Stegostoma tigrinum: one gene and its partners. The protein of the gene in region 2 interacts with the protein of the main gene of each other region in a biochemical or structural test. Links are inferred from orthologs where the notes say so. Each region holds a gene or a part of one and is shown on either strand. Other genes may lie near its edges.

The links.
Region 1: the proteins of growth factor receptor-bound protein 2 (region 2) and met form a complex in vitro, tested with the Homo sapiens proteins (3 studies listed by BioGRID and IntAct, with this or other methods). The link is inferred for Stegostoma tigrinum from reciprocal best matches to the Homo sapiens genes GRB2 and MET.
Region 3: the proteins of growth factor receptor-bound protein 2 (region 2) and tyrosine-protein kinase ITK/TSK-like form a complex in vitro, tested with the Homo sapiens proteins (2 studies listed by BioGRID). The link is inferred for Stegostoma tigrinum from reciprocal best matches to the Homo sapiens genes GRB2 and ITK.

Annotation. Positions count from the first base shown.
Region 1 is NC_081371.1:34,235,840-34,239,587, reverse strand, and holds the start of met (hepatocyte growth factor receptor), read right to left. Parts: upstream 2,145-3,748; 5' UTR 1,736-2,144; intron 1-1,735. UniProt on the Homo sapiens protein: Receptor tyrosine kinase that transduces signals from the extracellular matrix into the cytoplasm by binding to hepatocyte growth factor/HGF ligand. Regulates many physiological processes including proliferation, scattering, morphogenesis and survival.
Region 2 is NC_081375.1:55,043,109-55,046,856, reverse strand, and holds the start of growth factor receptor-bound protein 2, read right to left. Parts: upstream 2,445-3,748; 5' UTR 2,319-2,444; coding exon 2,241-2,318; intron 1-2,240. UniProt on the Homo sapiens protein: Non-enzymatic adapter protein that plays a pivotal role in precisely regulated signaling cascades from cell surface receptors to cellular responses, including signaling transduction and gene expression.
Region 3 is NC_081366.1:12,417,833-12,421,580, forward strand, and holds the start of tyrosine-protein kinase ITK/TSK-like, read left to right. Parts: upstream 1-824; 5' UTR 825-902; coding exon 903-1,040; intron 1,041-3,748. UniProt on the Homo sapiens protein: Tyrosine kinase that plays an essential role in regulation of the adaptive immune response. Regulates the development, function and differentiation of conventional T-cells and nonconventional NKT-cells.

The DNA of each region.
Region 1 (3,748 bases), on a different chromosome or scaffold from region 2:
TCACCAGTTTCAAAATCTCCCCTTCCCCTACTGCATCCCTAAACCAGCCTAGTTCGTCCCCTCCCCCCACTGCACCACATAACCAGCCCAGCTCTTCGCCCCCACCCACTGCATCCCAAAACCAGTCCAACCTGTCTCTGTCTCCCTAACCGGTTCTTCCTCTCACCCATCCCTTCCTCCCAGCCCAAGCTGCACCCCCATCTACCTACTAACCTCATCCCACCTCCTTGACCTGTCCGTCTTCCCTGGACTGACCTATCCCCTCCCTACCTCCCCACCTATACTCTCTCCACCTATCTTCTTTACTCTCCATCTTTGGTCCGCCTCCCCCTCTCTCCCTATTTATTCCAGTTCCCTCTCCCCATCCCCCTCTCTGATGAAGGGTCTAGGCCCGAAACGTCAGCTTTTGTGCTCCTGAGATGCTGCTTGGCCTGCTGTGTTCATCCAGCCTCACATTTTGTTAGCTTGTATCGATGGCTAAATACCATCTGGGTGAGAACAACTACTTCAGAAAAGTCAAGGCATCAAATCAGCACATTCTGGTGTGTTTGGCTGGCTAATCTCCAGGTCTTTGCTGAATCTCGTCATGCATATGGTTATCACTACTAAGTAGTCTTGCTAACAATAATGAACAACCAGATCTGTGCTGCCAGTGAGCAAAAGGACCACACTACTCTTAAATGCATCACACCATTGAGTCAGACAGATTACAGAGAATCTGTTGTTACCTTCCCATTGAATACTGATTTGTTTTTGGTTAATCAGTGGTTTAAAACCACTGCCTAAAAGAATGTTCATCTAAACCACTGCAAAATTCACACAAGTAGAGAGGTTTGCTTCCGTTCTGAGGGTCACCGGACCCGAAACGCTCACTCTGTGTTCTCCTCCACAGATGCTGCCAGACTTGCTGAGCCTTTTCCAGCAACTTTGTTTTTGTTCAAGAGAGGTTTGCTTTACTTGACCTGGAATGCCCATTTCGTTGGTTCAGTGACTCACTTCGCTCACCTCAGTTCAGAAATGCCAGCACAGTTGTCAAGAGCCAAGGTTTCGAGGCTAATGCTGTAATTCGATCAGATCAGCCCTACACATAAAGGTATGCTTTACTGCTTAAATGCTTTTGCGCGCAGTGAAACCGATAAATTAATCCCCGAGTGCTCCGCATTACTGTGATCCTGATAATTGTTTGAGTGCTCCGTGTGAGATGCGCTGGGAATGTCAGTTACCCCCCCACCACGCCCCCACGCACGGCTGCTAATACTTCTCGGAACTAACATAGTATTTAAAGATTAATTAAAACCATTAATCCCAAACACATCAAGTACAATGATTTTTCTTCTGGGGGATTATCCTGTATAAATAGGGAAATAAAGTTAATCTGGGGATCCTTTTGACCTGCCTCAAATCTCCACGGTATAAAAGTTTTTTTTTAACACTTTCCTTATTCCCCACATAATACACACAGGAAGATGAATCATTCTGGATCATGGTGTGCACATGATCTCATTCCACCGCAACCGATTCTTCAGTTGGAACAGTTGATGCAAAATAAGATAATATCTGCAGGACATTTAAAATTTAGAGAGTAAGAAAAGAACAAAAGAAGGGAATCTCACTTGTATCCGTGTATCTAAAAATCAAACAAACACACGCTGGCAAGTATTCAGTTATAAATTACAAATTGATCGATACTAAGCAAGAAGGCGCAAAATGGATATTGAATAAAAGCCGGACATACCTGACTGTGCACCAAAGTAAATTCAGGATCAACTTGCAACTGTCCTTCTCAGAGCCCAGGCAAGTGCTTCACGAAATCATTCCACTGCAGGCGTCACATTCCCCTCCTCTTCAACACATTTCACTCAATAAATCCTGCTCTTTCAAAAAGCGTTAAATGCTGCAGCCTGCCCGCTCTGCTCTGGTCCGAGGTGACCACTCGCTCTGATTTTGATGAATTCTCAGCGCTCCAGTCCTGGCGAGCAGCTCGGAGCCGGCCCTTGCTGCACAGGTGACCCAGGCCCCCTATCCGCTCGCTAGCGCGGATGACAAAACAAAATCGAAAGGTCCTTTGTGAAAGCAAAGTGGGAATGTCAGACGGACAGTTTCAGGGTGAGTAACCTGTTTCTAACTCCTGACGCAGCCGCTGATAAACTCTGGGCGGTTTCAACTCCGCCCCCACGAGTTTGACTTATAACAAGGTGTACGGCTCTGCACCACGTCCTCCCCAGATCACACACACACTTCTCACAGATCACACACCGACTCTTATTGTGCTGAGCATCCGTATGTCGGGTGAACCAAACTGTATCACCAGATCAGAGGTCTGCCGCCAGATTTCATCGGATCAGAACCACCATGTACAGGATTACCTCACAATATCTTCCTGTATACGATTAGATATGATGTATCCAGCCTAATGTTTCACAATTAGATTCAATGGCTTACATGATGGCTCGGTGGTTAGCACTGCCGTCTCAGTGCCTGTCAGTGTCGGTTTCATTCCAGCCATGGTTGACTGTAGCATGTTCATCATGTGCAGTTTAGGTGGATTGTCCAAGGTAAATTTGAGGTTACACGGGTGGGTAGGTTTGGGTGGGAAGCTGCTGGAGGGAGGGTGCAGATTCAGTGGGCCGAATGGCCTCCATGTGTGCTGTCGGGCTTCTATGATTCTAACCTGACTCCTAAATCAGATTCCCAGAATACAATCTGATCATCAGGTCTGTGGTATATAGCCTGACCTTAATGAGGCTACATTCAGCTTGATACCTCTTGGAAAGAACATCATAGCACATGTTCTCCATTACTATTGCAGACATGATAGAACCTCTGTTAGCAATGCCTAGGTCCAGAACTGTGCTGCATAATGTATTAATCTAGCAGTTTACGAACATTCAATATACTTCAGATGACCTGGAGAAAACAGAAAGCCATTTTCAGGGAGTTAACATTGAGCGAGTATAAGAATCTTCTAAAGAGATCACCTGCACATGGTGAAACCATGTAGTTGGGTGGGATTTAGCAGATGTACCATTCTACAATTGTTACTCTGTGTGATAATAGATGGAAGTGCTGACCATGCAACTGGTTGCAGTTACTGGGTTAGAGATAATAGGGACTGCAGATGCTGGAGAATCCGAGATCACAAAGTGTGGAGCTGGATGAACACAGCAGGCCAAGCAGCATCTTAGGAGCACAAAAGCTGACGTTTCGGGCCTAGATGAATGGTCTAGGCCTGAAACGTCAGCTGATAATGGGAACTGCAGATGCTGGAGAATCCGAGATAATAAAGTGTGAAGCTGGATGAACACAGCAGGCCAAGCAGCATCTCAGGAGCACAAAAGCTGACGTTTCGGGCCTAGACCCTTCATCAGAGAGCTCGCTGATGAAGGGCTAGACCTGAAACATCAGCTTTTGTGCTCCTGAGATGTTGCTTGGCCTGCTGTGTTCATCCAGCTTCACACTTTGTTATCCTGAAACGTCAGCTGTTGTGCTCCTAAGAAGCAGTTACTGGGTTAGCACTCTTGCAGAATGGCAAGCTGCCTGATGCAGCAAATGACATTTAGGGATGAGATGATGGCAAAACAATTGAGGCAGAACTGATTTTCATAACCATCTGCAAAGCCCAATATACCTCCTTTTGTGTAATGTCATAGGAGTTTCCCTGTTGCACAGCAACCTGGAACAGGAATTCCCCCTCACCACTTTCAGGTTGGTGTGTTTGAGTTTGCAAGGTTTGTTGGTGGCAAAATAG
Region 2 (3,748 bases):
TCCTTCTCTCTCCCTCCCCCGATCCCCCTTCTCCTTCTCTCTCTCTCTCCCTCCCCCGATTCCCCTTCTCCTTCTCTCTCTCTCCCTCCCTCCCCCGATCCCCCATCTCCTTCTCTCTCTCTCTCCCTCCCTCCCCCGATCCCCCCTCTCCTTCTCTCTCTCTCTCCCTCCCTCCCCCGATCCCCCCTCTCCTTCTCTCTCTCTCTCCCTCCCTCCCCCGATCCCCCCTCTCCTCCTCTCTCTGCCTCCCTCCCCCGATCCCCCCTCTCCTTCTCTCTCTCCCTCCCTCCCCCGATCCCCCCTCTCCTTCTCTCTCTCCCTCCCTCCCCCGATCCCCCCTCACCTTCTCTCTCTCTCTCCCTCCCTCCCCCGATCCCCCCTCTCCTTCTCTCTCTCCCTCCCTCCCCCGATCCCCCCTCTCCTTCTCTCTCTCTCTCCCTCCCTCCCCCGATCCCCCCTCTCCTTCTCTCTCTCCCTCCCTCCCCCGATCCCCCCTCTCCTTCTCTCTCTCTCTCCCTCCCTCCCCCGATCCCCCCTCTCCTCCTCTCTCTGCCTCCCTCCCCCGATCCCCCCTCTCCTTCTCTCTCTCCCTCCCCCGATCCCCCCTCTCCTCCTCTCTCTCCCTCCCTCCCCCGATCCCCCCTCTCCTCCTCTCTCTCCCTCCCTTGATCCCCCTCTCCTTCTCTCTCTCCCTCCCTCCCGCGATCCCCCCCTCTCCTTCTCTCTCTCCCTCCCCCGATCCCCCCTCTCCTTCTCTCTCTCAATCCCTCCCCCGATCCCCCTTCTCCCTCCCTCCCCCGATCCCCCTTCTCCTTCTCTCTCTCCCTCCCTCGATCCCCCCTCTCCTTCTCTCTCTCCCTCGATCCCCTCTCTCCTTCTCTCTCTCCCTCCCTCCCCCGATCCCCCCTCTCCTCCTCTCTCTCCCTCCCTCCCCCGATCCCCCCTCTCCTCCTCTCTCTCTCTCCCTCCCCCGATCCCCCCTCTCCTCCTCTCTCTCTCTCCCTCCCTCCCCCGATCCCCCCTCTCCTCCTCTCTCTCTCTCCCTCCCTCCCCCGATCCCCCCTCTCCTCCTCTCTCTCTCTCCCTCCCTCCCCCGATCCCCCCTCTCCTCCTCTCTCTCTCTCCCTCCCTCCCCCGATCCCCCCTCTCCTCCTCTCTCTCTCTCCCTCCCTCCCCCGATCCCCCCTCTCCTCCTCTCTCTCTCTCCCTCCCTCCCCCGATCCCCCCTCTCCTCCTCTCTCTCCCTCCCTCCCCCGATCCCCCCTCTCCTCCTCTCTCTCTCTCCCTCCCTCCCCCGATCCCCCCTCTCCTCCTCTCTCTCTCTCCCTCCCTCCCCCGATCCCCCCTCTCCTCCTCTCTCTCTCTCCCTCCCTCCCCCGATCCCCCCTCTCCTCCTCTCTCTCTCTCCCTCCCTCCCCCGATCCCCCCTCTCCTCCTCTCTCTCTCTCCCTCCCTCCCCCGATCCCCCCTCTCCTCCTCTCTCTCTCTCCCTCCCTCCCCCGATCCCCCCTCTCCTCCTCTCTCTCTCTCCCTCCCTCCCCCGATCCCCCCTCTCCTCCTCTCTCTCTCTCCCTCCCTCCCCCGATCCCCCCTCTCCTCCTCTCTCTCCCTCCCTCCCCCGATCCCCCCTCTCCTCCTCTCTCTCTCTCCCTCCCTCCCCCGATCCCCCCTCTCCTCCTCTCTCTCTCTCCCTCCCTCCCCCGATCCCCCCTCTCCTCCTCTCTCTCTCTCCCTCGATCCCCTCTCTCCTTCTCTCTCTCCCTCCCTCCCTCCCCCGATCCCCCCTCTCCTCCTCTCTCTCCCTCCCTCCCCCGATCCCCCCTCTCCTCCTCTCTCTCCCTCGATCCCCTCTCTCCTTCTCTCTCTCCCTCCCTCCCTCGATCCCCCTCTCCTTCTCTCTCTCCCTCCCTCCCTCCCTCGATCCCCCTCTCCTCCCTGCCCCGGTCACACTCTCTTTTCTACCTCCCCGTGTTGTCTTCTTTTACCCCGTCATGCATCTTTCTCTTTCAACCAGCTCTCTTCACCTTCGCCCCCCACTCCCCCCCCCCCCCAACGACTCGCTCTCTCACTCTCTCCCTCTCCTCTCTCCCTCTCCTCCCTCTCCCCCTCCCTCTCCTCCCTCTCCCCCTCCCTCTCCTCCCTCTCCCCCTCCCTCTCCTCTTCCATAGTCTCGCTCCGTGACGCTTCCTCCTCCGCTCCTGAATCCGGCTTTAGCCGCGATCTCATCGCGGCGGCCTCACCTTCAGTATATCTTCCCTCTTAAAGCTTAGCTCATCGTCTGCTGTGGCCTTGAAGTCGTACTTGGCGATAGCCTCCATGTCAGCGCGACGTTGGCCTTGCTCTGACTTTCAGTCTGGGGCTGGGCCTGTCCGTCGCCAGCGTGTGGCTGTCGCCTAGGCCCGGGACCACTGCGCGTGCGCACTGCGACAGGCCGCTCCCGCATACTGCGCCTGCGCACGCACTGGGCGTTCCGTGTCCGAGGCACGTACCGGAATAGCGTCAGCCAGGCTCAGCGTGATGCTCCTGGACCGGAAACGAGCGTTGACCTCGCCTTCGTCATCTTGTGCTTAGTGTCATTTGACCTTTGGTTTTCTGTCTTGAGTTGGAGCATAAACTTGAGTATCTCTGGGTGTTTTCAGTTCTCATTCTTCTCCTGACCTGCGCTTTCGAATGTCTAATTCCTGTGAAATGCACCTCGTGTTGGTAAACTTCAATGGTCCTCGCTCTTTGACCATTCCTTTGGAAGACATTGTGAGCTTGCTTATTGGCACCACATTGTTGGTGCTGGTGGAGGAGTACTGTTAAGTTACTGGTAGGCTCTGTATTGCTGTTATGATTCTCCATCTCCTGAAAAGGAAGAAAGGAAATTCGTGTCAGTAGTCTGAAAATTTCTCTGCTGTGCACCTCTGTCAAGATGGAGAGTGTATCAGTATTTCACAATCTGTTCTTCACCCTCTTCCACGCTTGTTCCTCATGATCCCATGCAGCATTGGTACACATCATTATTAATCATCGATGCCCTCATTGTTTTGTCAAGTAATTGAATTTTTAACTCTTCCACTCTGCCTTGTTCATCAACACCACTTTGCTGAGCATTCTCCTAAGTAAAAATCGGAGCGGCTCTTTTAAGATTCGTGGCCTCACTATCTACTGTGAGCTGAAGAAGAAAGCCCACATTTGGTACCCACTGGTACTGCTGACTGTGAGAGGTTGTTTCTTTTAAGCTCTCAACGGATCTTAATTTGAAAGAGGTACCTTAGATATTGAAGTAGTCCATATCAAAATGTAGCAAGATCTGGATAACACAAAATATTGGTTGATAAACATTCACACTATACAACTGCAAGGCAATAAGCAATTTAAAAGAGAGAATGTAACAATCATCCAATGAGAGTCATTGGCATCAACGTCACTAAATACCCCAATATCAACATCGTAGGGGTTCCATTGAGCAGAAGGTGAACTGGACTAGCTATATGTGGCTATAGGAACAGCTCAGAGGCTAGGAAACCTGTGGTGAATAACTTACACCCTAACTTCTTAAAGCCTATTGAGTATCTGGAAGGTAAGTCAGGAATGTAATAGAATACAGACACATGCTGTCCCTTTCTCTCTCTTTCCCTCACATACAAATCTATGGGGTGAATTTGCTTTGTAACTCTATTTTGTTCAAATAGCTCACACGTTTGTAGGTAGTCAATGTGGCCTTTTATAAATTCTTACTTTGGAAATAAAATCAGTCCAATTT
Region 3 (3,748 bases), on a different chromosome or scaffold from region 2:
TACAAATTCCAGATTAAAAGGGGAGTTAGACTGACCTCCATCCAGTCACCGATGATGTTTAATGCTGTGGAACAGAAGAGACTGAGGAAAGGGCAGGAAGAGTGATGAGAGATATTGCCATACCAGTGGATGGTTCAGCTATCACCATCACCCCCTCAGTTTGCCTCACCATCATTCCATCAGTACTGACCCTCTGACAGTGCAGCACTCCCTCAGTACTGACCCTCTGACAGTGCAGCACTCCCTCAGTACTGACCCTCTGACAGTGCGGCACTCCCTCAGTACTGACCCTCTGACAGTGCAGCACTCCCTCAGTACTGACCCTCTGGCAGTGCGGCACTCCCTCAGTACTGACAATGCAGCACTCCATCCATATTGACTGTCTGACAGTGTGTGGCACTCATGTCGGTGTAAAAGAATCTCTGCCTTTGTTTGCTGAGGATGAGAAAGTTTCTCCCTTTGATCACTCATTGACCCCCCCCCCCACCTCTCCACCCGGTTGAAATATTCAGCCCTTGGTCACATTGTCAGAATCCCTGATCACTTCTGAAGTTCTAAAGAATGTGTTGCCGGCATGATTTTTCCTCTGATCGGTTCAAAGCATTTCTCTCTATGTTAACGGGTGGCAGCAATTGGCCTGCATATAAGTTGGCGCGATATGGTTTGGGTTTTTCTCGTTTCTGCTCACAGGATTTGCAAAGGCAGATAGAAAGGAAGTGGTTTCACATTCTACCTTCATCCGAGTCTGAAGCCTGCGTGGTGCTTTTTCCTGACAGTTTCTCAGTTATCAGCATCTGTGCACCTACGCTGTGCCTAATGCTGTGACCTGCACACAACCTTCCGATCAGCTTCACCTCCCCACCACCACCTCCTCTCGATGGGGAGTGTTACCCGCCGAAAGGATGAATCCCCCTTCCATCCTTGAGGAATTTCTCATCAAGCGCTCACAGCAAAAACGAAGGACTTCACCCTCCAACTACAAAGATCGATATTTCATTCTGACCAAATCCAGGCTGGCTTACTACGAGTGCCGTACAGGGGTATGTGTCTCTACTTGTTCGCTTAATCCATCTCGCCAACAGCCTCACATCAATCTCACCCCTTCCATTGGCTGTGGCCAGATGTCAGCGTCTGCCCAGCACAGTTCTCCTTCCAAAAGGCTGCCTTCCTTCACAGTGTCCTGCCTATTGCTAAGGATTTTTCTGGCCTTGCTTTCTCCTGTGTAGCTTCTGTCACCTCTCTGTGCCAGTGGCCCTGTTGAGCGTCTGAGGCTCAGTGCCATCTTTGTCAGAACACAATTAGTTTCTCTCCATTTCACAGTGGTGATCAGCGAGTGAGTGTGAATGAGCGTGAGACTGAGTGAACTTTCTGGTTTGAAGTTCAGTCTTGTTCTTGGTTGCCAGAGTGTCAATGCTTGTACAGCGAGTCGGTGTGTTAAGCTTTAGTGCGTGTTCACAGTGGGCTGTGGTTCATTATTTTTAACTGTTACTCTACTCTCAACCGTCCTGTTTGTCTGCCCAGCCAGCTCCAGGAATGTGTTCACCTCATAATGACATGTTGTTCTGGGTTAGGTTTTATATCATTTCATTTTTTCCTTCATGGGATGACTGTATTGCTGGCTAGGCCAACGTTTATTGCCCATCTCGAATTGTCCAGAGGTCAGAGATAATGGGAACTGCAGATGCTAGAGAATCCGGGATAACAAAGTGTGGAGCTGGATGAGCACAGCAGGACAAGTGCATTAAGAGTCGATCCCTTTGCTGTGGGTGTGGAGTTATATGTAGTCCAGGCCAGGTAACGGTGGCAGTTTCCTTCCCTAAAGGTCATTGGTCAACCAGATGGATTTTTTCTGACAATCAGCAATGGATTGATGGTCATCATTAGTCACTTCATTCCACTTTCTTTTAAATTAAATTCAAATTTCGCCATCTGCGATGGTGGGATTCAAACTCAGGTCCCCAGAGTATTCCCTGGTCTCTGGATTAACAGTGTAGTGATGATATGCCAAGGCCACGTCCTTCCTGATATAGTCCAACACCAAAAACTTCAGCTCACCCAAAATTGTGAATCATAACCAGCACCAAGTCCAGTCCTTCTGACACCCACAGGGGCTCCTGATTCAATGAAACTTCAGTTTTAAAGGCCTCATCCGCATTTTCAAATTCCTCTGTGTCACCTTGCCCCCTCCCTTTTGTTGTAATCTCCTCAAACGGCTCACACATGTAAGAGCTCTTCCAACTCGGGCCTTTAATACATTCTCAATTTACACCAAGCCAACATCAATGGTATTGTGAAAACTCAAAGCCTTAAGCTCTGAAGTTCACTCCCTCACACCATCTCCCTCTCTACCCTTTCAGATGTTGCTTAAAACCTCCATATATGACCAATATTTCTACATCACACCTTACGAGATGTGGGTATCCACTGGCAAGGCCAACGTTTATTGTATATCCTTGAGTGCCCTTGAAAAAGTGGTGGTGAGCTGCCTTGTTGAACTGCCACAGTTAACCTCATGTTGGGGCACTCACAATGCTCTTAATGGAGGCAGTTCCAGGATTTTAACCCAGCAACAGTGAAGGAACATTGATTACGTTGCAGATCGGGATGGTGAGTGACTTGGAGGTGAATTTATAGGAGCTGGTGTTCCCCTGTACCTGCCGCCCTTGTCTGTCTAGTTGGCAGAAGTTGCAGATTTTTTCCCTGTGTTGGAGAAAGAGCTTTTGCAAATTGCTACAGTACATCTAGTGCATGTTATAAATAGTACACTTTGCTGTGACTACATGTTGGTGGTATAGGGTGTGGATAGTGAAGATGCAGGGTGTGATGCCAATCAAGCAGGTTGCTTTGTCCTGGATGGTGTCAAGATTCTTGAATGTTATTAGAGCAGCACCCATTCCGGCAAATGGAGAGCATTCCATACACTCCTGACCTGTCCCTCGTCGATAGTGGACAGGCTTTGGGAAGTTGAGAGGTGAGCTACTCATTACAAAATTCCCAACTTCTGTCTCATCCCCATAGTCATAGTATTTACATGGCTGGTCTAGTTCAGTTTCTTGTCAATGGTGTCCCTCAGAATATTGACAGTGGGTGACTCAGTGATTGAAATATTATTGAACATTAAGAGGCAATGGTTGGATTATTGCTTGTTGGACATGGCTGTCGTCTGACATTTATGTGGTGCAAACATTACATGCCACTTGTCACCGCAAGCCTGGATATTGTCCAGATCTTGTTGCCTTTGGACATGAACTGTTTCAGTATCCTAGGAGATGCAAGTGACACTGAACATTACACAATCATCAGCAGACAGCCCCGCTTCCACTTTAAGATGGAGGGATGAAAGACGGTTGTGCTTAGGGCACTCGAGGTTCTTGAATTCACTGTCCAACAAAGTAGACTTGTGTTTTCAGAGACTGTGAATATTGCATCAGGTTGTATCCATTGTGGGTGTGCAAGGATGTGACCAGGGCCAAAATTCTGGAGCAAGATTTGAGAGGTTCTATGCACATAGGCGTTGTGTAGTGTGTGTGTTTGTCAGCCTGTGTGTGTTTGAATGACTTTGAGTGTTGCCTGCATGCGTGATTTTGTGTATGTTTTGTCTGTGTGCATGTTTGTGAGAAGCATGTTATTTAATGTCTATGCATTAATGTCAGCCTGTGAGTGAACGTGGTTGTGTGCACGTGGATGTATATGTGAGTGTGTGTGTGTGACACTGTGAATGTGTGTATGTGAGAGAGAGAGACTGTGA